5 linked regions of the Nothobranchius furzeri genome follow. The protein of the gene in region 4 purifies or fractionates together with the protein of the main gene of each other region. This does not show direct contact. Links are inferred from orthologs where the notes say so. Each region holds a gene or a part of one and is shown on either strand. Other genes may lie near its edges.

Evidence for each region.
Region 1: the proteins of prkacbb (region 4) and akap11 purify together in Homo sapiens (affinity purification with mass spectrometry; 5 studies listed by BioGRID and IntAct, counting the BioPlex papers as one, with this or other methods). This does not show direct contact. The link is inferred for Nothobranchius furzeri from reciprocal best matches to the Homo sapiens genes PRKACB and AKAP11.
Region 2: the proteins of prkacbb (region 4) and akap9 purify together in Homo sapiens (affinity purification with mass spectrometry; 5 studies listed by BioGRID and IntAct, counting the BioPlex papers as one, with this or other methods). This does not show direct contact. The link is inferred for Nothobranchius furzeri from reciprocal best matches to the Homo sapiens genes PRKACB and AKAP9.
Region 3: the proteins of prkacbb (region 4) and akap1b purify together in Homo sapiens (affinity purification with mass spectrometry; 4 studies listed by BioGRID and IntAct, counting the BioPlex papers as one, with this or other methods). This does not show direct contact. The link is inferred for Nothobranchius furzeri from reciprocal best matches to the Homo sapiens genes PRKACB and AKAP1.
Region 5: the proteins of prkacbb (region 4) and vapal purify together in Homo sapiens (affinity purification with mass spectrometry; 4 studies listed by BioGRID and IntAct, counting the BioPlex papers as one, with this or other methods). This does not show direct contact. The link is inferred for Nothobranchius furzeri from reciprocal best matches to the Homo sapiens genes PRKACB and VAPA.

The regions. Positions count from the first base shown.
Region 1 is NC_091754.1:39,458,570-39,464,557, reverse strand, and holds the start of akap11 (A-kinase anchor protein 11), read right to left. Parts: upstream 3,547-5,988; 5' UTR 3,403-3,546; intron 1-3,402. UniProt on the Homo sapiens protein: Binds to type II regulatory subunits of protein kinase A and anchors/targets them.
Region 2 is NC_091759.1:4,645,029-4,650,998, reverse strand, and holds the start of akap9 (A-kinase anchor protein 9), read left to right. Parts: upstream 1-1,905; 5' UTR 1,906-2,071; coding exon 2,072-2,119; intron 2,120-5,970. UniProt on the Homo sapiens protein: Scaffolding protein that assembles several protein kinases and phosphatases on the centrosome and Golgi apparatus. Required to maintain the integrity of the Golgi apparatus. Required for microtubule nucleation at the cis-side of the Golgi apparatus.
Region 3 is NC_091753.1:61,599,598-61,605,592, reverse strand, and holds the start of akap1b (A kinase (PRKA) anchor protein 1b), read right to left. Parts: upstream 4,149-5,995; 5' UTR 3,971-4,148; intron 2,683-3,970; exon of another isoform or gene 2,570-2,682; intron 2,484-2,569; 5' UTR 2,459-2,483; coding exon 979-2,458; intron 557-978; coding exon 432-556; intron 249-431; coding exon 122-248; intron 42-121; coding exon 1-41.
Region 4 is NC_091751.1:51,148,611-51,154,828, forward strand, and holds the start of prkacbb (protein kinase, cAMP-dependent, catalytic, beta b), read left to right. Parts: upstream 1-2,852; 5' UTR 2,853-3,072; coding exon 3,073-3,118; intron 3,119-4,059; exon of another isoform or gene 4,060-4,112; intron 4,113-6,218. UniProt on the Homo sapiens protein: Mediates cAMP-dependent signaling triggered by receptor binding to GPCRs.
Region 5 is NC_091751.1:42,880,785-42,886,235, forward strand, and holds part of vapal (VAMP (vesicle-associated membrane protein)-associated protein A, like), read left to right. Parts: intron 1-2,156; coding exon 2,157-2,260; intron 2,261-5,451. UniProt on the Homo sapiens protein: Endoplasmic reticulum (ER)-anchored protein that mediates the formation of contact sites between the ER and endosomes via interaction with FFAT motif-containing proteins such as STARD3 or WDR44.

The sequences.
Region 1 (5,988 bases), on a different chromosome or scaffold from region 4:
GCGATGAACAAACACAGCATCAGCCCTGAGTCTCACCTTGCCTTGCCTAGTCTTAGTAAACTGTCCCTCCTCAAAATGTGCCTGTAGAGTGGTGTATTAGTTTATTTCCTGCCACGTTTAACAGTTTAATTGCAGCCTTGTGCAGTTGAGAGCAGAACATGTAGAGCCTTGATAGAAAACATGTGAGAGTGCACATTAAACTCACTGCACACAGCTTTTTGTTATTGTGATCTCTGGTCATGGTGAGGTTGCTCCTGCTGACTTGAGCCAACCATTTTCTTCTTCTCTCTGCATCTTTGGGTAAGCCATAATTCTGATTCCTCCCTCAGACTGTTTGCTATATGCAGCGCAGCCAACCAAGGTAAGATAATCAACCTATAAAGCAATTATTAAAATACTATTTTTGTACATATAGAAATACTGAACTAAACCAAAAATATAGAGATGTAAAATTACATTTAAAAATTTTATCCAACCATAAAATTAGCCATTTCAATTTTTAACCCATGGACACATTTTATTTTAATAATAATCAAAATAAAGTTACTCAAAAGAGCTTCATTAGGTCTTGAGTACATTGCTCATAATTAATGATTCAGCTTATTTGTGCATATGTAATGACTAAACATAATGTTGGTAAAATGCTTTATTAAAAATGCTATTATACATGTACAAGTTTGGTGTTCATTTTTTCCACAAATAACACTTTTTATCTACTGTGATGAATCATACAGTTTTATTGAAAATTTATTTTTAATTAGTTGCTATAGAACTGGATACAGATGCATGTACTGTCTTCACATAAAAATATAAAGTAATGATTGTAAAATGTATTCTACTGAACATAATAGATATCATTCAAAGCATAAACAGATACATATTTTCTTCAAGGTAAGCTGGAGCAGAATTCTATTCAATAAACACTTTAAAATGGATATTACAACTCGAGTTTAGGGATTCTTGTAGGACTTAAAGTTATTAAATATGCTTATATTAGAGCAGTGTGTTGCATTACTACATCAAATGTATTGCTATAATATATTATAGTAATGTATGTGGTCTAAATGTGTTCTACAGTGTGTTAGGACTGTCGTGTTCCTGTAATGTAGAACAGTCATGGGTGTTTGTCTTCCTACAAATGCTCGGAAAAATATAAATTGGCTACTTTGTGAAGGAGTTAGGACATAATATTTAATATAATATATAATATTATTCAATAATTACCACAAATCGCCAGGGGAAATGTGATTAGGTTAAATTTTTGTGATTGTCCCACCATACGCTGTTCAAACTGACTTACGGCGCTGTGATGTTTGGGAGCTCCATGAACCACGTGACCGCGAGTTCAAAGAGTGTTGTAACTCTCTTTCTACAGCTCTGACAGAACCCTGCCCTCCTCTCCCAATGATTGGACAGGAATTCGAGAAACGTGATTGGTAGCCAAGACTCGTGCTCTCATTGGTTCCACCCAAGCTCCTCCCACTGACGCTAGAATCGAGACAGATTTGAGGTCTGTACCTGTAGAATGAAATGTGTGTTTTGAGAGTTTTGATTTCAAACGTGTACCTTGATTTTTTTAATTTGGAAGTCTGCTAGTTACAAAACGAAAGTTTCATGTTTCTGAATGAATGTTTGATGTTACAAAATGAGTAGTAAATGTACAAAATTAAAGTTTGATTTTACAAAATAAAAATGCATGTACAAAATACAATGTTCTTGTTACAAAACAAGAAATACAAGTACAAATTGAGAATTACAAGTTATAAAACTAAAGTTACAAGTTACGAATCCAAAGTTACATGTGATGAAACATGTTCCAAGTTACAAAACTTGGCACAAGTTACGCTGAATATTGTCCCAATCCTAGCTCCATACATCTCACCTTCCATCCATTTAGATTCAACCATCACAGTCGTCCTATTTAACTTGTCTTGTTTTAATTTGTTTAGAAAATACATTTCTTATCTTTTATAAACCTGAATCTGTCTGAATTGAGATGAAGTGTGTTTGATCACTGAAAAAGCAAAGAATCCTAGAATCTTCTGATTAAACATCCAAAGACCAAGCAGGTTATATCCTATATCACAGCTTATTGGTCATGAGTAAAGGTAATATATTAAGCTTAAAAGCAACAATATTCACCCCGCTACATACCGGTATGCATTTAATCTGCTGATGATTTTAAACATACAATTACTGAAGACAGTTTTAAGCAAATTCAGCTCCGTTATATTGAGACTTAAGTTTTGGCCCAGTGAGCCCGGCCCTAAGGCACACTGCTAGAACCTCTCAGTTATGATTAGCAACGCTGAGTTCAAGGACTGGGAAAAATCTCTGCTTTTTCATTTCCAAGTGACTGATGGCCAGACAAGAGTGGCTGATTCTAGAATAGAATAGAATAGACCCTACTGATCCCACAGTGGGGACATCCACCTGTTACAGCAGCACCAACACTTAGCCTGAAGAGAAATAATACAACGGTACACGTGTATATATACACACATAGGCAGGTATCTAGCATGGGAACCTTCCAGCACTAAAAACCACAAATAGAAAAATGAAGAACTGAGCAGCATATTGTAAGAGACACGGACATACTATGTAAATCTGGTACGAGGTACTGAACACATACTGAATAGTGCATTGGTGCTATTGTGTACCAGGATAATACCTAACTCTAATTACCAGCTGGATTTAGGAGCATAGAGAATGTACTTCAGGTTAGTGTTAAAGCAGCTTTAACCATGATCTGTGCCAAATATGACACAGCAGGAGTCCGTCTAAAGGCTCAGGAACCCTCTGCAGGTGTTCTGGATTTATCAGCTGATCAGAGTCTGGAATGGTGAACCTTTCCACAAGAATCTGATGGTCTGAGATGTTTATGTGGGCTTGTCATCAGCTGGAAGCCAGAATCGTCACAGATATGACAAATCAAGGCCCGAAGTATCTATGAGTCCGTCTCATACACTAGTTTCACCTTTCAAGTTGAATTACTGACATAAGCGAACTTTTGCACCAGATTCTCGTTTAGGAAAGTCAGCTGGGCTGGAAACCCGGTCCTGCAGCGGAGACCAGGGACCCGGTCCTGGATCAGGAGCAGGCCGGATGTTGGTGCTGACAGACGTTAAGCCCACATCACGGACTTGAGCTCGGCACGCGAAGTTAGCATGCTAGCTGAAGGACAACAGAGGTTCGGACGAACATCACTGACATAGGAAATGACACCAGTCCCGTCCGCAGCCGAGCTGGGCTCTAGCTACGAGCTCACCCAGGCCGCGCCGCGGTGGTTTAGCTCCGCCGTAGGTGGACAGCAGGCAGACCGGAAGCTGCTGGTGGCTCAAACAACTAACGGATCCACCTTCTTGTTACTGTACCCCGGTATTTAGTAGAAATTCAACTCACCTCTCGTTGTCGGACACCAGAACCGCTGGACAGAGCCGCTGCGATGGATGCTGTGCGGTACGGGAATGATCTTTTCGTTCGGAACTCATCTGAACTCTTGCTACAAACACGGATTTCGGGAATAACTGGCAAAGGTTCGTGGACCCAGACCGTTTCTGGAGTTCAGACATTTATGATGAGATGAAAAATTAACATCATATTTAGTTCTATTGCGTTCCACAAACCGTTCAGCTGTTTCAGACCGATTTAAATGGCTCCTGAAAATGAACCGAACGGCCCACGAACGCGTTCCTTCCCGATTCGTCCCATTGACACACGCAGACGCCCCATGTGAGTCATTTGGAATCGTAGGATGTCCAAGGAAGGTCCCGTCTTTCTCGCCTCTGATTGGCTGGAAAGACTCTCCTATGATTGGCTATTGCTGGGTTTTACTCACGTGACTATCGTGACGTCACAATGCGCGAAATTTCAGGATGGGGCAAGAAGTGTTTTGCAAGTCAAAGAAACACATTTTTAAATTTTAAACAATGTCTATCCCTCAAAAGATGTGCTCAGAAAACGTTTTAACATTGATGATAATTCATGTTCCTTTTGTGGGAAGGATGTTGAAACAACTGATCATATTTTCTTTGAATGCAACAAGACACGGACGTTTTAGAACTGTTTTGAAAACTAGATTCAACCTCAAATTGGAATCCCATGTCCCATTTCAAGAGATGGCATCACCTTTGGAACTCTCCTTCAAACAAACAACCAAGAACTCTGCTACAATCTACTTCTCTGTCTGGCAAAATTCTTCATACATAAACAAAAAATACTGAAATCACCCCCTGTGTTTAATGCATTTGTACATGATTTTAGATTGTATCTAAGATCCCTTAAATGTATCAATAATAACAGCTATGAAGATATGTATAGACTGTTGTGTAGACTTCCTGGAACTGTGTAGTGGTCCCTTGCATTTGTCCTCCCCCTTTTATAATAATAATAATAATAATAATAATACATTTTATTTAAAAGCGCCTTTCAGGAGGACACCCAAGGTCACTTGACAGAAAACACGTGATACAATACAATAAAACAATAATAAAACCCAAACAAGAAAAAAACAAAGAGAGAAACAGTTCAATAAAATCAGAGGTTGTAGACAGATTTAAACATATGTTTTGAGTTTTGTTTTGAAAAGGGTAAAACTGTCGATGTTCCTGATGTCTGGGGTAAGTGAGTTCCAGAGTCGAGGAGCAGAGTGGCTGAAAGCTCTGCTACCCATGGTAGCGAGACGGGCAGAAGGAACCGCAAGATGGATGGAAGAAGAAGATCTGAGTGAACGGGATGGGGTGTGAATACTTATAAAGTCTGAGATATATGGAGGAGAGAGGTTGTGGATTGCTTTGAAGGTATGGAGGAGAATTTTGAAGATGGACCTGAATTTAACTGGGAGCCAGTGAAGCTGCTGGAGAACCGGGGTGATGTGGTGAAAGGAAGGGGTTCTGGTGATAATACGGGCTGCTGAATTCTGGACCATTTGCAGTTTATGAAGGAGTTTGTTGGGGAGACCATAAAGAAGTGAATTGCTATAGTCGATACGGGACGTGACGAGGCTGTGGACGAGAATGGCGGCAGTGTGAGGGGTCAGTGAGGGACGGAGACGGTTTATGGAACGTAGATGGAAGTATGCTGACCGAATTATGTTATTAATGTGAGCTTGAAAAGAAAGTGAGCTGTCAAGAATGACACAGACTCTTGACGTGAGGGGAGGGGGAGACTATGGCGCTGTCAGTTGTTAAAGATCTTTTCACTGACTGTTCGATTCTCATCTGAATACATTGGCATGCTTGCCTTATTTGTAATGTAAATATGCTTTTCTGCAATAAAAAAAACGAACACAACGCGATGGAGGTCAGCGAGTATACAAAGGCTTTAAATGGAGAGGATATCGTAAAAATACAACTTAATTTAGGGTATCATCCATACAGTTTAAAAAAGTTGGACTTTTCTTACAAACTTAAGTATTTACCAGGCCCCCACAATGCAGCTCTGAAATTGAGCCAAACCCAGAAGTGAAATAAATTGCAGTTCCACTCTCATCCGCTGGGGGCTGGTGTCAGAAACGAGCAAATCCTCATTGACTCCCATGTTAAAAATACCAATTTCACAGCAGAAATAAACATGTTTACAGCTTGGTACCAAAACATGTTTTTGGTTTAAATGATCTAGTTTACACTCATGACAACTCTGAGGGGGGTGAATTTTTTCTCACTCTTCTGTTTAAGTGTATTAAAAGCCTAAAATTCTTTATAATTAATGAGCATCAGACCCACGTGACCACAAAGCTAGCGCCGTGGAAAGGCCTCAGTAGAGCCTCGGTCTGGCTTGGAAACTGTTCCGGGATTTTGAGTCTCTGTGTTTGTGTATTCTTGTTTGGATATTTTTTGTGCAACTGTTGGACAAAATGACTTGCTGTGGCATTAATTTCACTAATAGAGCGTCCAAGGAGTCTCCACTTCATTTTTTTCAAAATTATATTTATGTATTTTAGTTAACTGCCGAGTTGAGCTTAGATTTTAACATGTACTGTCTAACCAT
Region 2 (5,970 bases), on a different chromosome or scaffold from region 4:
CCTCAACCATCTCCACTTCTTCTCCCATGATGGAAACAGTGTTTGACTCCACCCTGTTTCTTCTGAAGTCTAAAATCTTCTCCTTTGTTTTGTTCACGTTCAAGGTCAGATGATTGTTTCCACACCATGCCACAAAGCGCTCCACCAGCTCTCTGTACTCAGCTTCCTGTCCATCTCTGATACACCCGACAACGGCTGAGTCATCTGAGTATTTCTGTAGATGACAGGTCTCTGATTTGTACTGGAAGTCTGAGGTGTACAGGGTGAAAAGGAATGGTGAGAGTACAGTCCCCTGTGGTGCTCCAATGTTACTGATCGCCTGGTTTGATGTGCAGTTCTTCAGTCTCTCAAACTGTGGTCTGTTTATCAGGTAGTCTTTAATCCAGGCGATAGTTGAGGCCCCCACCTGTGTCTTCTGGAGTTTCTGGCAAAGTACATCAGGCTGAATTGTGTTAAATGCACTGGAGAAGTCAAAGAACATGACCCTCACAGTGCTGCCTGCTTTGTCCAGATGACAGTGGGTTGGTTGAAGCAGCTGGATGATGGCATCTTCAACTCCAACTCCATGGCGATAAGCAAACTGCAGCGGGTCCTGACATGTTCTAGTTTGCTTATTCAGGTGGACCAACAGGAGTCTCTCCAGGACATTCATGATGTGGGATGTCAGGGCAACCGGTCTGTAGTCGTCATTGACTGATGGGCGAGTTTTCTTTGGAATTGGAACAAGGCAGGATGTCTTCCACAGGACTGGAACCTTCTCCTGGGCCAGGCTGAGGTTGAAGAGGTTCTGCAGAATCCCACAGAGCTGCTCTGCACAGGCCTTCGGGTCTTTGTTGGCCTATGGCAGGTCTTTATGAGCAGGAAACATCTTTAAAATGAAAAAGCTTAGAATTGCAATGAAAACTCAACTGGGACAGCTCTGGCAACCTCTCTTCCCATTACCATAGAAACTGGGCAGATTAAAAATCATTCAGACTTCAGATATTACAGGAAAATGTATTAAATTAGCTTTCAAATCTGTTTATGATATTGTTACCAAACTGCCTGTATGTCGATGCCTTGAGTGATTTTTCCATGCACAGTTATATATTTGTTTCCCAGTCTTAAGTCTGAGGAAAGGGTATTTCCACAACTGCAACGCAAAGCGAGCTGGAAAGCCTCGAGAGGGTGGCCAAGTTATCGTCTTAATCAGCGAACAGTGATGCTGGTTGCAGTGAAGATGAAAGGAACCAAGATGATAAATGGGTAGAAAAAGATGTGGAAATTGTGATTGCAGAGATGATGACAGAAAGAACAAATGTTTTCAGAAAGAACAAACATTTACAGAGCTGAGGATGTACCATTTGATGTTAATAGAGTAGAATAGAATAGAATAGAATAGATTAGAATAACCACTTTATTGTTCCTTAGTGGAAAATGTTGGTATCACTGCAGCAATTACATTTACAAAAAGGAGAGTAAAAAATAGAGTAAGTAAGATTAAAGAGCAAACAAAACAAACAAAAAAAAAACATTTGCAGAAATGCTTAAAATATTTAAAATATTGAATATATACACACTTTAAGAAATTAAATAAAAAAATATCTGATAGACATTCTCCTTTTTAAAATAGATTAATTTAAACATTAGATAAAACAATAAAAAAAGTTAATAGCTCAAATTTGTTATAAAAATATTTTTTTGTAGAATCTAAACTAGGTGGGTTCAAAGGTCTAAAATAATGTGGCCATTGTTGTTGTTATTATTATTATTATTTTGATCTTTTTATTTTTATAAACGTAACTCACAGGTTTGTGCTATGGAAGTGGAAAAAGGTGACATTTCCGGCAGCAAGTGAAGCCGACACCAATGAAATGCCAGGTGGGCGCGGCTTCGTGTGCACATACACTACGTCATCACAGTTGGGTCTCATGTTTACGTGGAAAACATGGCGGCGGACTACAATCAAGATAGGCAGTGATTTCGAGCCAAGCCGAACGAGACACGCTTCAGTCTTCAGCTCTGAGACTTTTGTCGCAGACGTTTCGTATGACGTTCTGTCCCCCTTGTTTCTGCCACAGAGACAGCGGAAATGGAAGACGAGGAGAGGCAAAAGAAGCTCGAGGCCGGCAAAGCTAAGGTATGATTTTAAACATTACCACTTCTGCTCTAAACTTGTAACAGTTAGCTGTCGAGAGCTTGTTTCCTGCGTTTATTATGTCTGTCAGCTGTTTTTAACCCCCCTCCCCTTCATTCACCCCTCTCAGCTGTCATGCGCCCTGCTTTGACAGCTGAGGAGGGGGGCTAGCAATGCTACTGCTAACCATGGTTTCTTTGTCATGCTGCATTATAAACATTTCTCATATGTGCTTTCCTCTGCCTGGCGTGTAGGCAGGCGATGCTAGGTTAAACAGCCACAGCTCGAGCCGTCGCATCGTTATTTAGGGCTTATAAGCGCCGCCTAAAGCGACTCTGACAGGCTGGTGTAACTGGATTTACAGGGCATATCCTCACTAGCAGGAAAAGAGGCACCGCATCACATTCTTGACGTTACCTTGACCTTAACAGCAAGGATTACGGACAAACATGTCAGAGTAACGCACATTTTCTTAAGGGACTGCAACTCGTTTATACAAAAAGAATGAACTGTTTAACATCTTATGTCGGTGACTAAATCTGGAGTTCCTCAGGTCAATAGGACAGATACATTTCATGTCAGCTGTATAATTTGATGCATCTTTATTACACAAATAAATAAAATGTGGTTTTCAAGATGTGGCTGAGTCAAAAAGTGTGTCACAGCCTTGTGATCACAGCTTGCATAGCATATCTCAACCTATAAGATTACAAAATTGTTGCTCTTGTATTTTGAGAATTTAGATGTTGAATTATCTGTTAGATGCCCCTACGATCCTACTGAGGAATGACTATTTCAGATAATGATTGAATGATCTACTATTATACTATAGACTTACGCGTCTTTGGGTGTCTAGAAAAGCGATATATAAGTTCAAATAAATGCATTATTATTATTATTATTATTTTAGACGGGAAAAAAACAAGGGTTTCCATTCTGATGCTGCAGGGAATGCTCTTCAGAGGTTTTCTTAGCCCAGTTTCAGATCATATAAAAGACCATCTCCTCAGCTGTTATTTTTGGAAGTATAAAGGCTCCTCATTGCTTCAGGCTGGTATGGCTGCTGCTTTTCTGGCACCGTGTTATGCCACCATGTCCTCACATGCAGCAAAATAAATAAATAAATAAATCCAGGGCAATATTACTTTGATAATAGTTTATAATAATTATGAGGCCTTGAAGGTTTAGCTTGAATGAAAGAAGAATATGATGAGGGCGGTCTTTTTTTAAACTAATCAAAATGATGTTGCAACACTTGATTTGAGTGATACTTAGTGGGTACAAAATGACATTTTCAGTGCAACGTTTGTGCCTTTCTCTTACAATCAGTAGCAAAGACGATGGGAGGATTGCTTTGAGTGAAATGAATGATGAAGAGTGAGCTGTCAGTCATCTGTTGTTCAGCACCAGGCAAGAGCATTCTGAATCTCACCAGACAAAAGCAAAGTAAAATCTGTGCGCAGGCATTGCTAGACTATTGTTTCCAGTTACGCATTTGTCTTGTAGTCTTTTATGTTTTCTTTGAAAGCTACAGAAATATTGACAAGTGTGCCACTATCGGATAAGTTATTTAATTCATTCAATAACAATTAATTCTTCAATTATACATGAATTAAATTGCAATTTCAAATGGTTTGTTAAACTGTCCATCACACTGGTATGTTTAGCAGCTAATAATCCTTCCAACTAGAGCTGGGCGATGAATCAAAAATGTATCGTTGTCTGTAGGGCTGGGACGACAATCAGTAAATCAATTGATCGTACGATCGATGAAAATGAACTCAATAATTTTCCAGCCTAAATATATCGAGGTTAAGAAATGTTCAACTCTATTATTATTATTATTATTTATCATATTGTTGAAGTGCAGTTTTGGTTGTTGACACTGGATATAGGTCACTGAGTGATGCATCTTTGTGTAGGTTGGCGACATTCATGTTCCTGTAAGAAGCAGTACAACCTCGAGTCATGTGATAACATTCCATTCCATTTTATTTATAAAGCACATTTTCACATGGCCGAGGCCAACCAAAGTGCTGTACAGTAAAAGCATAAAATCAACCCACGGGAAGAAGTAATAAAAAGTAGTACAGTAACTACTATAAAAACAATAAAAATAAAAAAACATCGTAAAATGGCAACTAGGCTGAAGTAGAAGCTAAGGAATAAAAATGAGCCTTCAGACGTGATTTAAAATCAGAGGGGGGGGGGGGGGGGGCATTCTCACTGCTAGGGGGAGTTGGTTCCAGAGACGAGGCGCACAGATTGAGAACGCTCGCTCTCCTCACATCCTCACCCGAACACTTGGGACCTGTAACAGGCGGTGGTCTGCTGATTGAAGAATTCGACCAGGTACGTAAGGCTGAACCAGCTGAGTCAAGTAGAGAGGCGCATAAAGATAGAGTGACTTAAAACCGAGAAGTAAAATTTTAAACTAAATGCGGTAGCGCACCGGAAGCCAGTGCAGCTGGGTCAGAACAGGAGTAATTCCAGCCTGGCACCGTGGGTTTGATTCCAGCTCCTGCCAGGGGTATTCTGCTGTTGTGTCCTTGGGCAAGACACTTCACCCAACTTGCCTGTGTTGGTGGTGGTCAGAGGGGCCGATGGTGCCAAATGGCAGCCTCGCCTCTGTCAGACCACCCCAGGGCGGCTGTGGCTACAAAGTAGCTTACCATCACTAGCAGTGTCTGAATGTGACAGTGCACAAAAGCGTCTTTGTGTCCTAAACAAGCGCTATATAAGTTTGATGATGATGATGATTATTATTATTACTGAGCTAGGTTCTGTTGAAGGTTTCTTCCTTTTAAAAGAAAGTTTTCCTCTCCACTGTCGCTACATGCTTACTTAGCACAAGGATTCCTGGAAAGTTACTGACACAGGTCAATGACTCGATTCAGTCTGCTGGGTTTTCTTACACAGGAATATTTAACTAATCGGCATAATGAACTGAACTCAATGCACCGAAAAGTCAGTTCAGTTGGAATGTTTACTTTCTAAAAGTGCCTCGAGACGACTCTTGTTGTGATTTGGTGCCATATAAATAAACTGAACTGAACAAACTCAAAGCAGCAGAAAAGTAGGGTGTGTTGAGGTTCACGGAGTCAGAAAAGGTCCGTTCTATTATCAGGCTCACCTGGAGAACAGGTGATCTTCTTAACGTGGACCTGGATAGTTAATCTCTCCAGTGGAGGAGCCCTGCAAGTCTCTGAGAGAACAAAGGACTAACCGGTACAGATTATGCAGCTCATTAATTGGCTTAATAGACACTGTGGTTGTAGAAGTAGTAGAAGTGGTTATTGTATGCAGTGGGAACACCAAATAAATGTTAATCTTTTATCAATATTTGTTGTTTTAAATGAGAATCGAAGGGATAGTAAGTAGTTTTGATGGTGTAGCGGGTGCCCACTATACCTGCACAAGGGCAAAACCCAAAGATGGAGAATTAAGTCCCACACAGCAGTTTTCAGTTGGAGGCATTTGTTGCGAGAACTGAAAGAGAAACGATTCTAGTATAATATGATGTTTCTGTTGCGCATACCACGAAGAGCACAAGTAATGCATTCATATCATAGCAAACAGGAAAACGTGGATTTAATAGCATGAAGTGATCTTTCTGTTTCGATGCTCAACACTTCTTTTGAGGAATCTGTTGGTACAGAGAAAGGCATTTGAGTTTTGTTCAGCATAAATAATAATAATACACTCAGACAAGCTATGTTTAGTTAAACTTTTGTTGTCAAAATGCAGCAGCCAGCTCTTGTTTCTGAATGACTCACCACAGATAAAAATATGAAGGACGTGTGTTTATAAGATTAAAAATGGAGCAGCACAAGAAGAGTCTGCGTTTGTTTTGT
Region 3 (5,995 bases), on a different chromosome or scaffold from region 4:
GCCAATCAGTGCCAGAGCTTTATCAACCTGCTGCTGCACACCTGGCGACAGATCAGGCAGCGTTAGAAACCACCTCCGAGAGGAACCTTTCCTACAAACGGGCGCCTTGCAGCAGACTCACCCTCTATGTGGCAGATCTGGAACTCCTGTGTGTAAGGCAGAGTGGAGATGTAGATCTTTGCTCCAGAGTTCTGCTTCAGGAAGCTCACGTATCTCCCCTGCTTCCCGATCAGCCGCCCTACAAGATGCTGACACGGCAAGAAATGCTCATGAGAACCGTCCTCAACCACTTTGGACCATGAGAGGAAAATCCAGCGACACCAGTTTTACTCCTCTGACATCCACAAAGAAAACGTAGAGCAGCAGAAGCAGGTTTGGTTTCTCTGCCGGCGGCGTCTCCGTTACAGACACGCGGGGGCGGGGTCACTCACCTTTGGCACCTCAATCTCCCAGATAACGAGTTCAGAGTTTGATGAGGCAGCGTTGTTGCCCTGGCCCTCACAGGCTCCCATAGTGCAGCCGCTGTCCACCGAGTCCATACTGTTCACATCAGAACCTGGACACATCACATCCAATATTTTACCTTCACCAGTAACAATCTACACTTTGTTATGACATGGTAACGTTTCTGAAGCCCCGTGTGTCCAACAGCTGCTTCAGTCCACCTCGACCCTTTCTCCAGCTACTAGTCACCTCCAGCAAAGAGAAGGTTTCACAACCACGTCCGCCACCGCCTGAGGGGCGTCGGGTTATGAAGCCCCAGCTAAAGCCCGATGAGACGGAAAAGGAAACCGGCTGCAAAACCCTCTGAAGTTATGGGTCAGACAAGATCAGAAGCTTCTAGATCAGAACCTGGGCCCATAGTCGCCCGATTAACACATTCAGTACGATCACTTCCAGAGCAGACCCACGTCTTTAGCACATTAAAGCAGGCTGCTAGGACACACACCCTCACCGTTAGCATAGGACGAGCCTCACCTCCAGACTGATCGGTGTCCACCTCACATGTCCCATGAGCCCCGTTTCTTGAGCCAATCCCGTTAAGTCTCTTTAGGACACCTGCAGCATCCACAGAGCTCTCCTCTGGGGCTGCTGGGCCGGCCTCCACCAACGACAGCGGCTGCACGGCTTCCAACGACAAGTCTGTAACTTGAAGGACGTCCGTTTGGTTTTCCAACACGCCGCTCTGCAGCTCCTCCAGGCTAACGCCGTCCTCAGAGTGGCAGGTGCTGCAGGCAGAGTCTTCGGTCAGGACGGTCCCCTCGTCGCCTCTACGTTTCACGTTTAGACCTGGAGAGGCCTGATGCGGCGGCGGCGGCGGCCACGAGACATTTGTTTTACAAACCCCGTTGCTGGCCTCAGCAGCTGCCCGTGCTGGAGTCATGGAGCCACCATTTGGCACTCCCTGGACATCTGCTGCCTCTCGGCACTCAGGGCCTCCCTGCACAAGGCTTCTCGGGTGACAACCGTGCTGCTGTGTTCCTGCGACCGGCTCCTCTAGAGAGCAAAGCTGTCCTCTGACCGCGGGTGAGCTGCCACCGGGTGACACCTTGGTGACACCGAGCACTTCCTGGGTGGCTGCTGAGATGACCTCAGTGATGAGTCCAGCTGCCAGGAGCTCCAGATTCGGCTCTTCTTGAGTGCTGCTCTTGATACGGATGTCCTCTGAGGTCACCAGCATGCTGGTGGGATCCTGGACTGTGAAGGTGAGAGAAGTGGGTGTACTGGTTAGTATCAGTTTGTGTACATCCGCTGACAGACACGTCTCCAGAGAGTCTGCCTCTGATGGGAGGACCCTTGGTGTTTTGGCTAGGGTAAGTGCACAAACAATCTCATCTTGAGTGTTAACAGAGCTCTGATGCATAGCAACTTCACCCTCTGGCTCTGGTCTTTCTGCACCAGAGAGGCGTGTCACAGAGGACGAACGGGTGACTTTGGTAGCACGGTGAGACGTGATGGCGTCCTCGCTCGAGGCCCCCGGAGCCACCTCTGAATGAAACTCCCCGTCTGAAACTATTAAGAAGTCCCTTCCAGGGGGTTTCAACGAACTTCCTGTCACATCTTCCTCATGTGATGGCGAAGTGGGACCTGTGGGTGTAAAGATGTCCTCTGCTATTAGTCTGCCACTCAGTGGGTCAGGATCATCAGAACTTTGAACCAGGGAATGTGCTGCTTCAACATCCTGGGTGTGGATGGGAGAAAGTATTTCATGTGGTGTTCTCTGGTGGTTTAGACTCGGAGGTCCGTAGAAGTCCACTTCACGTGGAGGTGTGGCAGTCCCGTTTTCATCCACGCCGTTTCTACCCTCCAGGTGAGATGTGTCCGCGCTCGGGGGCCCCTCTGAACTTTCATCGCTGATTAGACGCTCTTTCTTACGCGAGGCGTACCACCACCAGCCGATGAGTGCGAGTACACCGGGCAGCGTGTAGGGAACCACGGAGCGGAACCTCAGCAGCATGTTCTCAAGAGATCAGGGGGCACACCTGAAATTAAAAACAGGGACAGATGAGCAGAGAAAGGCGTCACAAAGACTTTCTGGTAACAGAAACCACCTAGGTGGCAAACCTACAGCCAGGTCAGCAAACAGGTCTCCCCGGCGACCCGAGGGACTCGCTGGAGCTCCGTAGCAGAGTCTTAATGCTCAGACATCTGACAGACTAGCCCACATCGTCGGTCTGACTGCTGCTCGTAGAGAAGTGACATTAGCTGATTTTTACATCAGTTATTTCAGGATAAAATCGACTTTAACTGTCTTCCTGACCAACTTTGACTAAACTTTAGCTTCAGAAACTAAAGTACTTCTTGTTTGGAGTATCCCACACCACTCACCTGGGACAGCAGCGTTCACTCTAAGGTGTTAGAAAACATGCAACACGTGTCTGCTGGATTGTGAACTTGGCTAGGAACGTGCACAGCCCTAACACACACCATTACACCCTGAACCCAAGTGAAAGTGACGCACGCTGGTCTTGGACGTCTGCATGACCCTGGGTGGTTCTCACCCGACTGTGGCACAGAGAACCGTTAAGGTCATCGTGCGTGCGTGTGCGTGTGTGTGTGTGTGGAAACACGTCCCTGCCAGGTCCTTTCCTGCGGACTGACACGCAGACTCGCTCTCAGAAGCCACCTCTGTAGGTGCCTTCCTCTCACGTAGGACACAGCCTACATGTATGAGACTCCCAGCAGCGACTTAGCTTCACGGCTAGCTGACGCTAAAGAACAGTCCGTCTGTTTGAACATAATCCTGCTGGCCTCGGGTCGTCTTACTAGATTGACGGAAAACGTGAAGTTTTCAGGAATTTTAGGGACAGCTCGTTAATCCCACCGGGACAGCTGGCTCGTTCACTCACCAGAGGATAAGTTGTATGAAATCTGTCCTCGCGCTTTACTTAATAACGTCAGGCCCTACTAACGAGAGGATCTACGTGACACACGTTGACTAAATATTGGACATTTTTGTTTTGCTTTACCAACTGAGAGCCGGGCTAGGCCGCAGCGGCGCCGTGGAGGACACGTGTGTTGGGTCGAAGCGGGTTAAAGGACGTTCTGCTGCGAGCGGGCCTCAGCCCTGCTGCTAGCTTACTGACCTGCGATGCTAACACCGCAGCCAACGGCGCTGACTGGCCGACAGCCGACACTTCTACTGGGATATAAAAGCTCTGGTGTGCTTGTTACGGTGATCGTTCGCATCCGTGCCCGCTGAGGACACGTACATGCGGCTGCTTGAATGACACCACAGGGGCAGACCTGGCTGCACAGCCCAAAACTGGGCAAAAGTGCTCGTTCAATGACACGATGGCATTGAACGAGCACTTACTTTCAGTGCACACACCTGATACATCCTAAGCGTGCCCAGAAATGTCAATGGTGTGTATTTAGTCGGAGATGAAAGGCTGTCTGCTTAGAGAACGCCAAAAGTCGGTGGCACAAGGGTGCATGCTAGTCTGGGAGATCGCGCTGTTTCATTTACCTTCTTCTGCGCCGCCACGACGACTTCGAGCCAGGAAGGAAAAGCTTTTCAACAAAAGTCCTGTACAAAGTCAAACTCCTCTCTCCACGTGCTGATCGACCCACGCAGGTCTATAAAAACACACAACTACTACTTCTTCATCCTCTTCTTCTTTTAGGTTTTTAACTTAACTCAAAGGTGCGGTGTCGCCCCTGGTGGGCAGAAGTGGGACTTTTTTTAAACAAAGCAACATAAAATAGAAGAAGAAGAAAATATAATTTCTATAGCGCCTCTCAAGATAAAAAATCACGAGGCGCTTCACAAAAACACACAAAAAATGTAAAAGTATAAAAAAGCATTTAGAAAATGTTTAAAAATATATTTAAAATGAGCAAAAATAGGTAATTGGGATTTAAAAGAAAAAATGTTAAGAAAGAGAGAGAGTGAACAGGAAGGAGGGAAACCAGTGGATCCTGAGGAAGGTGGAATAGGTGGAGAGAGCAGAATAAAGAGAGAGGTGAGGAAGGTCATACAAAAGCCAGCTTGAACAAGTGAGTCTTCAGCTGCTTTTTAAAGGAGACCACTGAGTCCACTGATCTCAGGCTCAGGGGGAGAGAGGTCCAGAGTCTGGGGGCCAAAGCAGCAGATGATCTGTCACCTTTGACCTTTAGCCTGGTGCTGCACAACCAGTAGGCTTTGGTCACTGGACCTCAGGGACCTGCTGGGGGTGTAGGGACTAAGAAGATCACCAATGTAAGATGGTGCTTGTCCATGTAAGGCCCTATAGACCAGAACCAGGATCTTGAAATGAACCCTGAAGTTGACTGGCAGCCAGTGAAGCTGGAGGAGAAGCGGGGTGATGTGGGTGTGTTTGGAGGACTTGGTCAGAAGCCGAGCACAGGCATTCTGAACCACCTGTAGACGGTTCAGGGAGGTTCTGCTCAGACACGTGAAAAGAGAGTTACAGTAGTCTAAGCGTGAGGAGATGAAGGTGTGGAGGACTGTCTCAAGTTCAGAGCGGGACAGAATGGGACTCAGCTTAGCAACGTTCCTGAGATGGAAGAAGGAAGAGCCAACAAGAGAACTGACATGAGAATCCAGGGTGAGAGCTGGGTCAAAGGTCACGCCAAGATTCCTGACAGAGGGTTTGGTGTGGGAAGCAAGCTGACCAAGAGAGTCTCTGACTTTGGGAAGCAGCTTGTCTGGGGCACAGATGAGGATCTCAGTCTTATCTTCATTCAGCTGAAGAAAGCTCCCAGCCATCCAGGTTTTGATAGAGTCTAAGCAGGTGTGTAACAGCTGCAGCTTAGACATCTCATGGGGCTTAAAGGAGATGTACAGTTGGATGTCATCTGCATAAAGATGGTAGGAGATTCCTTTGAAGGAGCTCAGGATGTGCTGAAGAGGAAGCAGATAGAGGGGGAAGAGTAGAGGCCCCAGCACAGAACCTTGTGGGACACCATGGGTAAGAGAGGTGGTGGAGGACCTAAACTTGGAGACGGCCACAGAAAAGGAGCGCTCAGAGAGATAAGAGGAGAACCACTCCAGAGCAGATCCTGATAGGCCTACCCAGTCTCTCAGCCTCTCCAGTAGCAGGTGATGGTCAACAGTGTCAAAGGCTGCAGTCAGGTCCAGCAGGACCAGAACAGAACAGTCCCCTGCATCACTGTGAGTCAGAAGGTCATTAGAGACCCTAAGAAGAGCTGTTTCAGTAGAATGAGCTCTACGAAAACCTGACTGGAAGCTATCATAGATGTTATGTTCACCAAGAGCAGCTGTGAGTTGTTTAGCCACAACCTTTTCCAAGATCTTGGAGATGAACGGAAGTTTAGAGATGGGCCTGAAGCTGCTATGGAGAGAGGGGTCGAGACTCGGTTTTTTAAGAAGCGGGTGGATTACAGCGTTCTTAAAGTAAGCAGGGACCTGACCAGAGACCAGAGAAGCTCGCTGGGACCGATGGACTGAAAAGCACTTTTAAACAAAGATGAGGGTAAGATGTGGAGGGGGCATGCAGAGGTCTTCATAGAGTTAACTAGTTTGGTTAAC
Region 4 (6,218 bases):
CCTGATTTCACTAGTATGTATGTGAACTTTACACTTGAAGGTGTACAAATATCACAGTGATGTGACTGTTAACATATTCAAATGAATTGTATGGTAATTTTTCCAACTTCCTCCCTCACACAATGTGTTTTAACCGATTCCCATAAGAGCTGCAGTGAAACAGGAAGCTAGGCCCTAAACGAGCAAAATAGGAATATATTATAAACAAACTTTATAGTGAATTTAAAACTTGCAAGTGTTTAAGTTGATTGTTTTTGCCATGCAACAGTCAACAGTCTGGGCTGCATGGCGGCGCAGTGGTTAGCACTGTTGCCTCGCAGCACGAAGGTTGCAGGTTTGAAACTCGGCTGCAGCCTTTCTGCGTGGAGTTGCGTGTTCTCCCCATGCATGCGTGGGTTTCCTCCGGGTACTCTGGTTTCCCCCACAGATCACAACATGCCCTATAGGTTATAAATTGTAAGTCGCTTTAGATAAAAGCGTTTGCCAAATGAATAAACATAAACATAAAAATTGTGGTCCTGATCTGCTGGTGCAACATGGGAGGAAGAGGGAGTAGTAGTATCAGGTCAGAGGAGGTGACTAACTGGACCAGAGTGGACTTTTTTTAATGAAAATTATTCTCTTTTTCATTGTTAATCTGTAAAAATTAAGAAGACAAGTACTTATCAAGGCTTTTTCTATGAAAATAATTTTTCTATTGACTCTGTATTTTGTTAAAGTTTCAGGCTTTGGATTACAAACAAATTGACATCACCAGTTTAAATTGAAACATGCAGTTAATAAATTATGTCAAGTCTTACGTGTTTACATGAATATTTTTGTATCATGTAGATTCAAACCACAGGCTTGTGTGCAGAATATAACCAAAATATCATGGGATAACCAAATTGTTCCAGTTCAGAGCAACTGTTCGTTATTCTCCATCTTCAAGCTTCCTCTCTCATTGTTTAATGCAGGGATTATTTTTTTAAAGGGAAAGAGGAAATTCTAAAAGTCAGACAAAGTATAACTGTGCAGTTACCACTCTGGTCAAAATACACTAAGCAAACTGTTTGGCAAGCCAACTTATCATTTAACATTATAGTTCTTTCAAAAATATTCAAATAATGGAATTTTTGAAGTGTTTGTAAAGATTTTATTTGGATTTTATTTTATTTTATCAAGCTATTGTCTATATAAATGTTATTTTATTTTATCACGCTATTGTCTATATAATGTTAAACAACCATTTTTCATATAAGCAGTGAGTTATCATTCTTATCTCAATACTGAATAAAATGGTAAATGATATATATCTGAAACGCATGCTTCTGCCACAAAAAAATTATTCCAAATATCTATAATGTCAGTTTTAATGATGAAGCACTTTTACTTGTACAGCACCTTTCAGAATCAGAGGACCCCAAAGCGCTTTACACCACAGTGTATCATTCATCCATTCACACACTGATGGTGATGAGCTACAATGTAGCCGCAGCTACCCTAAAGCTCGCTGATAGAGGCGAGGGCTCTTTTGAAGACTGCAGCTGTGGCCTTCTGACGCTGGAAGCCACATGAAAGCACCTAATGTGTCCCTGGAAGAATAATGTTGATTGGGCGAAAGTTGTATTCGATGTTTCAATTAGTCTTTTTGGATATGTAGGGATTTCATTTCAAATATTCAGATTCGGTTTAACTAAAAAACAAACAAACTTCCCAAACATTCTTTAAAATGTCTAATAGGGATGCATCAACATGAAAATGTGGGCCGACATCAATATCTGATATTATTATTGCTGTTATGGCCGATAACCCAAATTTATTCACATTACATTCATATAATATTTACACACACACACATGCACGCACACACACACACACTCACATACACTTATGGGATGACCAAACAGATGCAAAATGGACAGCTAGATGGAAATTAATATCAGACTGATACAATATGTTGAAAACTACTAACATTAGCCAAAACGGCTATTGATGCATATTTCTGCATCAATAGTGTTTTAACATTTACTTTTTAATTTAGAATCTCATTAGACTTTGGATTATTATTTTAAATATCTTGGTAACACTTTAAGGGTGTCTCTATTACTAGGGATGCACCAATATCTCTTTTTTCCAAACCGATACTATACCGATACCGATACTTGGATCTGAGTACTCGTCGATGCCGATTACCGATACCGATACTTCCGCCACACAAAAAAATGCAATGGTTTGGAATACAGATTTTATTCTCTGCTTTCAACAGGAAAAGACTGTGAGATAGATAAAAAGTAAAATATATGAACGGAAATCCTCACAAAACTAAAATATTAGGTGAACAGAAATGACAAGTTACAGTGAAGCCATTTTCAAGCAACTGCATTGGTATCGGTTCCTGGTATCGGCTAACTTTTACCTATACCGATACTGCTATTGGTATCGGTGCATCCCTATCTATTGCCGTTATTTACTGCATTATTAAGCATTAATAAACAAAGAATCCCTTCATTAACGTTCGCGAAATTTTAAACTATTAAGTGTCCTTACGGTTAGCACAAAAACCCGGTGGGCTGTGGGATGTCTGCTAAGCATCACTTTATATTAACATTAATATTAAATGGTTGTTACTACTTTATTTAATAGTTTATTTACGCTTAATGTTGCACTAAGTAACGTTAATAAAATGACCCTTATTGCAAAGTGTTATGAACATCTTGAATTTAAATAGGGACATGCGGCATTCCAGCATTTCTTTGGGAAAAGTGTCAGTGTGGTGTGTTTATATGCCACAACGGCCTGCCTTAAGCGAAACACAAGTGACCGCTAGCTTGATGTCAGCCGTGCGGAGACGGCGGCGCTGAGGTAGCAGCAGCGGAAATCTGTCAGAGGGAAGGAGGGGAAGGCTGTGGGAAAAGTGAAAGGGCAGCGGAAGGGACACTGAACGTGACTTTGTCACTTTCAAACCGACCGAAGATTTCTATCGGGTTGTTTTCTCCTCTTTGAAAGACCTCGAAAACATATGCTGGAAGGTTAGCTAGCCGCCGCCGCCATCATCTCCTCAGTCGGAGCTACCGCCGTGTCTTCTACACCATGGGGAATGCTGCCACCGCCAAGAAGGGCAACGAACTGGAGAGCGGTGAGTCCCGGCTTCCGTTATGGCTTCAACCGGATTTTGTTTAGCTCCGTTTTAGGCGTTTCATTAAGCCTTCACAAGTTAGCTACATGTATTTGTTAGATATATAAATAGTAGTAGTCCAGGCTAGGGTACAAGGCTGTCTTGGCATCCAGGGGGAGGGGAGCAGCGCGGAGTGTGTAAACAAGCTAATAAAGCATTTGGGGTAACTGTCAATCTCATGTGTATCAGCGCATTTATAATATAGTGTATAGCGAGTATTTGCATTTTCGCTAGAGCTCCGTTTATCTAGGTTGAATTCAGCTAGCCTGCTAACTTTAGCTTTTATGGTGGGTGGGTGGGGGAGTATCCCACAGAAGGCCCCTCATTCCCTGGCAGTGGCTGTTCAGGCCCTTAAAGTCAGCCCAGTTCTGCTCTCGTTTTCCTGCCAGTCTTTGGATATAGGTTAAAACGCCTAAACCCAACTTGACCCGAACACTCGGGTTAGTGTAACATAAAACTGAGCAAAGTGAGTCTGTGCGTTTGGCTGCAGGCTCCTCTCAGCCCTGCCAGCTGTGTCAGACTAAAACTTTGCAGTGATGCTCTTAAATCTGCAGCGATAAACCAAAGACCCATGCATAATTTGTATAAATAGACATTGCTTTTTATTTTGAAGGCAGAGTAGGACTGGCTCTGCCTCAGGCCTCACTGCCACATTTTATTCTTGGATACATAAACAAAGCCGTCCCTCTCAGCAGAGCACCACAACCAAATATGGAGATGAAATAACAAATTCTCTCTTCCCATTAAAAAAATGGGACCAACTACTGTGTCCAGTATAGGAGCACACACCCTTGTGAAGACAAAACCCCTTAATCGTGGCACTTGTTCTTGGTTAGACCCCCATCTCTATTGGTAAAGTTCCCATCAGATCTTCTCACACTCGGCTCGTCATTGACTGGAGCAGCTTGTCATCGGACCTTCGTCAGAGGATAAGGAGTATTACAAGCTTTGAAAGGTTTGACGTAACTCAGCCTGGGCCAGCGTTACTTTACACTTGCATACTTTGATGTGTGCATCTGATCACTGCTTAACGTCCCCTGATGTGAATCGTAACTTACGTTTTGTGCCTGGATATAAAAACTGCTAAAGTAATGGGGGGTTATTGTGTTTTTTACAGCCACATATTTGAAATTCAAGAAAATGTACAGCTTACTTTGTTTATTTTCCTTCTCTTAAAATCCCAGGAAACCGTTTGTGCTTGTTTGGTCCCAGTGTGCTTAAATGGGTCATTTTATGATGTTGTAATTGTTTTTGTTTGACAGTTATTGGCCCAACGTAAGATGCCAAATACAACAACTCACAAGCCCATGAGGATGATCAGATCAGTGATAGTTTCAGTACTAACCAAGCAGTTGCTTTGGATTCACCTGTGATCCCGAGATCCAGGGTCGTAGCTGACTGTTAAACCTATTTAAGCCGACACCGTGCCCCAAGCTGCAGATTTGTCTGGAGAGTAGCCTCTGTTGACAAGATGACCTGGTTACCTACAGTGCTACATGTTCCCCGTGTTTACTGTGTGTAGATGTCTCAGGCTGGAACGCTTGAAAGAGCACCAGCACAGTCAGGATTAAACACACGCTGTTGTGACACTTATTTATTACACAGCACCCGTGTACTGTGTGTGCACAACAGGGCAGGCTGCATAGCTCAGCCGTGTTCTGCTTGGCTGTATTTTGGCATTGATTCCTGAGATGTTTGTCTACCAGACTATGGAGGCAGTTGATGTTTCCCCCTGGATTACAAAAAAAGTTTGTGGTTAATTTTGAACATTTAAGTGACTTAAAGATAGCACTTTCCCAAAGCAGAAGTTTTATTCTAATATATTCTAGTCACACAATGGTTTTGGCTTCATAAATAGAATTGGTTGCTTTTATAAGTATAAATAGAACATTTGGCATTTTTAGGAAATTGTAAAGGTCAGATATTTACCTCCAAATGACATTTTTTAAAGGTGTGGTTCACTCGTTAAATCAATACATTTACAGTAATCTCTAGTAGGAATGAACACCATGTTAGTTGTACTCTGGGTACAAAAGCTCAGGTGCACCAGTTTCAGGATCTAGAAGATTCCCAGATCAGAGGTGACCTTCAGGCGGCAGGATCTGGAGTCTTACTTCCTGATATTTGGACATCTCACCTCTGATTGGCTAACAGAAACCCAACGCTACCACAGACTCAATTTTCTCTGCAATGTTGATGTTTTATCTCAACAAAAAACACAAGCCTGAATGAATTCTGCTGTGTGGTGGAGTTGCTCATGCTAACGGTTAGCTTCTACTATCTGAGACATTCTCTGCTGTTTCCTGGATGCTAAAAAAACAACAGTCTTCCCCATCGCGAGTCAAGATGGGTGAGTCCGTGACCGTTAAGTGACAGTGTGACGTAGATCTGTCAGGGTTTTCAAATCCTAGTATTTCATCATCTAATTTCTATCAGAAGCGAATGTAGGAGTTAGATGTAGGAGACTATTTTTGTGTTCAGCCTGCATTAAAAACTCAGAGTGACTGGTTATAATCAGAAATTACCATTAAAAATGGGTCTTCAGTGAACCACACCTTTAATGTTAAACACAAAAACAGCTTTTGAGAATCTTGGTTTACAAAATGTTTAAAATTACTACTATTTGATCACTTGCAGTTCTATGACTTAGTGCTTTGAACATAATTTCAAATTCCTAAAATCAAACAAAATTGCAGATTAAAACATATTTTGTAATTAGAGCCTTTTGTAGCACATGATGTTTAATTTTTAAATGTTTTTTTAAAGTCGTATCTGTTCAATCTGACCTAACGTGCATGACTGAACCTCTGGTACATGACATTCTAGTACACCTGTTCTTTCACTATCATAGTATCTGCTTTAATTCCTCAGGCGATTGCTGGTCGTTTTGTCATTGCTGTTCCTTCTATTCATGGCACATACTTGTTTGCTGCTGTTACACTTATTATCTACATGAACTCTGTATTTCTCTCTGTCTTCTCTTCTGTGTCATCCCATCCATGTGGGTGATTGTTCCTGCAAAATCCATGGTCATCTGTAGAGACCTTTGGTATGCAGATTT
Region 5 (5,451 bases), about 8.3 Mb from region 4:
TGGACAGGACATGGATATAAAATGAGCTGTGTTCTGGTAATTTACCCTGATGTCAAAACTCTGCGTACAGCCATGTACAGTAACCAGATAGGCAAGCTATGTGGACCTATCCTGTAACGTGTGTGATCCAACACATTTAGTCGACGCTTGTCCAAAACGATTTTAGCTGCAGCTTGAGCTATTGTTGTTAGCATTACCACACTTGTATTTAAACCAACATTGAAGCGGGTCCGAACAAAGGTTGGGCAATTGGATGAATTCATCAACCATTGGCGAAAATCCAAGCCCTTTGCCAATCATTTTACAAGCGATACGTTTTATGCTCGGCAATTACGCTCACAGAAGCAACATTTCAAATTTCCTTGTTAAATCAGCGCATCTCTTTTTTTGCAACACTTGTTCTTTATTTAACTATGTTCAATGTACATATACGTGTTATACCTCATTTAAAAGCAAGGATTCTTGTGATTCTAATGATGTATGGCAATCAAGAACTGTAGACGTGTCTACAATGGCACCGATTTGTGGTAGTGATCCGTCTGAAATCCACTCTAGTACTGACAGAACTTAACAAGCAGTATAAATCACGTTCAAATTCTGGCTCTGTTTTAAACTCTTTAGGAAGTCTGACTAAATATTGTACCTATTGCAGAAAAAATGCATTTTTAATTCTAGGCACTATTAAAAGTTCAGAATAGGTAAGAAAGAAATCACTTCATAACTGTGGAGATTAAATCACTCACTATAGGGCTGAATGATTTTAGGAAAAGATTGAATTGCAATTTTTCTTGCAGAAATTGCGATTTCGGTTCAATTCACGATTTTCTGCAAACAAAGGTCCAACACTAGCCTGCCAAGCCATCCTATAGATTAAGTGAAAAGATGGTCTAGATTCTAATCTAGTACAACAAATCATTCACATTAATATTTACTATTTAGTCATACAATAAAAACAGTTAAAGCTATTCATATTTTCTCCCATAATTATATTTATTTAAATTTGTAATGTGTTTGTGAAGCAACATGTGCTTGTGATTTTTATCTAGAGAGGAGCTTTATAAAAACATGTTCTACTCCAAAAATGCATGGAGGAAATCTGTAGGTAGAAATAGCTTTTAAATGTATTAAATAAAAAAAATGCACACAGTTTTCCCTGCATTTCCAAGGCAGGCTGGCTGCACGTTTTTCGAAGCCGTCTGATAGTTTTTCCTCACTAAAATGTCAGTTCTGTGAGAGAGACGAACACATTCTGACACCTTAGCTTGTTTGAACCAACATATGCCATCAGAAACATTCAAACCATTTTAAAAGAGAAGTTTAGCTTTCAAGTCAACTAAAGTGCGCGACTCTGCAGTCACACTGATGAAGCATAAACCAGCTTTAGAAACCAGCCTGAACCTGCTCCGATGTGATGAGTCTCTCTCTCTCCCTTACTCAACTACGTTTTCTCTCTCTCTCTGTCCCGGGCTCACCTATGGTGCCATTATAATCACCATTAGCATCACTGTGTGTGGGAACATAAAACAGGGAAAATAACCTAAACATGCTGCTCTGTCAGCTGTTGAGTTGGGCTCGGCTCTGGACGGTACACCCCACCCCCTTCCCCCGCGCTGGCTTTTGCCGACCGCCATAACACAGGGGGAAACCCCAGATGTAATAAATAAATAAATAAATAAAGTTGCACAACTGATCCTGGATCAGTCTAAACCACAAAAACCGCATATCTGACGGTCACGTGATTGTGCTGTTTGAAATCGCAATTTCGGTCCAAAAACGATAGATCGTTCAGCCCTAACTCACTAGCTACCCAGAGAGAGTAGGGTTTGTGTTTACAGTCCAGGGGGATCCTGATTCGACACTATCTGATTGGGGAGGAGCAGGGCACGATGCCATAAATTTGTTCAATCCAGCCAATTGCATAATTTGGTCAAAAGCTCCAAAATGTGGATTTTGCATGATATAGTTTCTTTAAAATCTTTACTTCTGCATCCACCTCATAAAAATATATAAAAATATCTAAATGTAAAACATTTAGTTAGATTTATGTTGGTTAAGATTCCCTTCTTGTCTGCTTTGCTACTGGCCATTCAATGTATATTTTTTGTATTTGGGTACCTGTATACATGCATTTGATCTGTCTTCTACTTTATTCACAGTTATGCTACAACCATTTGACTATGACCCCAATGAGAAAAGTAAACACAAATTTATGGTGCTGACCATTTTTGCCCCACCAAATGTTACTGACATGGACTCTTTGGTAAGTGATTTATATTACTTTGAAAATAAATATACATAATTGTATGCAACCTGTTTAAACTTTTGATTTCTGAAACGCTCATTTTAAAGTCTTGAAACTACTGGATTTCACTGCAGATTTAATCTATAAATATATCTATATTAGCTATAAATATATCTATATTAGCTATAAATATATCTATATTAGCTATAAATATATCTATATTAGGGATGTGATGGTACATGTATTGAAATCTTTTTGGTCCAGAGTGTTTGGTTCAGCAACGTTCTTCGAAAGGCCCAACCTACCCTATCTACGTTGGCTGGTGTTGGCAGTAGACACCGGGTTCTCCGTTGACTGCGAGGACCGAAAGTGAATGCCGTAAATTTAAGATTTACTGACTGTAGTGTATGTATGTTGCTTAGCAACCATGAAGATATTAATGACTCCACCAGGCGGGCTACTTTTGTGTGTAGCAAGAGTGAGTTTTCTAAAGCCGGAGCAATCATAACTGACAATAAATCGACCCGTTTAACAGGCAATGTCAGCAAATTAATATTTCTATTAAAGGCACAAAGACTTAACATGAACCAGTTTCTTGGACAAAATTAATGACAAGTAAAGTTTTATTTTAAATGTTGTTTTGACTTTAAATATTTTAAAGGTGAGGAACACTGAAAAAACATTTTTAAAGTCATATTTCTGATTATTATCAGTCACCCTGAGTTTTTAATACAAGCTGAATGTAGTCTTCTACACCTATCTCTTGTGTTAGCTTCTGATAGAAAATAAACGGTGAAACTCTAGAAATCCTGACAGATCTTTGTCGCATTGTCCCTTCACGTTCATGGACTCACCTATCTTCACTTGCGATGGGGAAGGCTGTTTTTGGTTTAGCGTCCAGGAAACTGAGAACATCTTGGCTGGTCGAAGCTAACCATTAGCTTTAGCAACTCACCCACACAGCAGAACTCCTCCAGGCTTGTGGTATTTGTGGAAATAGAACAGCAACTTTGCAAGTTATGAGTGCATTGTTGCACCGTGTGTGTGTGTGTGAGGGGTTGTATGAACTAGTCGCTGTTACGTGATAATGAGTGACAAGATGCAGTCCTCGGAAAAGACAGCAGGTGACGAGCCCCTGCGCATCAGGAGGCAACGCGCTGTGCCAGAGCGTCGGTACTGACACCCGCCGTAAAACAGACATTTAACCAAATTGTGACCTTTACCCTCTTGCAATTTAACCTTTCCCTCACCCCCATCCTAACCTTAACCAGCTTGTGCATGCAAAGCTCTGATCGTTGACGCGCTCCAGACATCTGCGTCCTGAGCACGGCCACAGTAACATTATCAAACTAGGTGTCGCCACCTCAAAAACAAATTTAACACGCGATCGTTCATGTCGGCTCATTTCCTTTTATGTGTTCTGTCTTTTATTTGTGCCTGATGCTTTTCGCTGCTGTGGAGCGGGGCGTATCACCTGTTTCGTCCTCCGCTGACGCACCTCACTGATGCGGCCGGCGAGCAGCGCACACTCCGCTGATTTTGCGGCCGGTAGATCTTTTAGAACTGCAGTTCAAAGGTGAATATATATGAACCCAGGTAGCAGTTTTTCTTTAGGATTGAGAGGAGATGCAGGAAGATAATAAACAGACAGGACAGAAATATAGTCAAATAAAAACAAGTTTGTTTTTGTACCTGGTAGCAACAAACAGACACCATTGAAGGTAATCAGAAGTGAGGAACAGAAAATGAAATAATTATTTTAATGTTTAGAGCAGCAGGAACTCTGAGAGGCTGCAGGCGCATCAGTGAGTTTGTGGCCGCTGCGCAGCGGGAGGTGGGAGAGCTGAAGCAGAGCAGTAAAGATGCAGAAACTACCGTTGTTAAAGGAGATGTGTTTAACTTTGAAAATGTGGGCGCAATTTTACAGCATCTGTCTGCATTCCTTCCATCGTGGGGGTTGTTGTTAGCAGCTCAAGGCTGCCTTGGCGTCAGATTTGGATAACAAGACTTTGTTTGGGTCAGGCAGAGATAATTTTCCTCTCTGCCTTGAAGTCTGTATTGATCATTCCAGTCCTCCAGTGAAGCCAATTTCAGGTTTTAAACATCTCCACACCGTCCAGCGACCCTCTCCGAGATGACATCCATTTGGCGCACTAATACCGGCAACGCAGCAAGGACATTGTCCCGCTTACGGTTCACCTCGAGTAACGTCCCAGTCTGTGAGGCATCCGCCCGGGCGGTGCTTTCCATGGGTGCGGGTCGCACTCCAATCGCTCCCGACTTCCCAAATTTCCAGAATACCAGATATCCTCCTACTCCAATCAGAAGAAATCCAGTGATTATCCAGCCAAATATCCACATGTCTTCAACATCCTCAATGGACAACTGAGAGAGACATACGATCCTCCAGACCTGCCAGGAATCGAGCGCATATCCCGCTGCGTGTGTCCCTTGAGGGCAAGTGGGAGCCCCCTCCTCCGTTCTCATCGTGGAAAAGATCTTATCAATCACGTTGAATGACCAATTAATTAAATCCATTTCTAAAAAATAGGGATTTCCAGAAGAAATGCAGAGAAGTGCTCTGTAGGCAGACAGGACAAAGAGCCTTGGGGAAAAAAAGATAAGGGAGCAAAAAGCAGAAGTGTCTGCACTCTGCTATTTTTGACTTTTCTGAGCCTGTCAAGTCCTTCTTTTGACCCATTTTGCCAAAGGAAATGTAGTTGCCTAATAATTATGCACACCTGATATAGGCTGTTAATGTCATTAGACACCACACCCCTTCTCATTACAGAGATGCACATCACCTAATATGCTTAATTGGTAGTAGGCTTTTGAGCCTATACAGCTTGGAGTAAGACAACATGCATGAAGAGGATGATGTGGACAAAATACTCATTTGCCTAATAATTCTGCACTCCCTGTAGAGACAGCTGACACAAGAGGGGGTGGTTGTTTTGCTGTTTCTTTTCAGGACTCTTGTGATGTTCCTCGATAATACAAAATGGTACAAAAGGGCCAAAATGCTGACAAACTATTTTGGTTGTCATATATATTTTCTAAGCTATGTATTATGGCCCATATTATTTTAGGTGTATTCACCCTTTGTCCGCCAGAGGGCAGCAAAAGCTTTGCAACAATTAAATAAAGAAGATCTTGTAGTTTTCTCTGAACTGCTTTATGACAACTAAATATTCTGCAGTTGTTCTGTT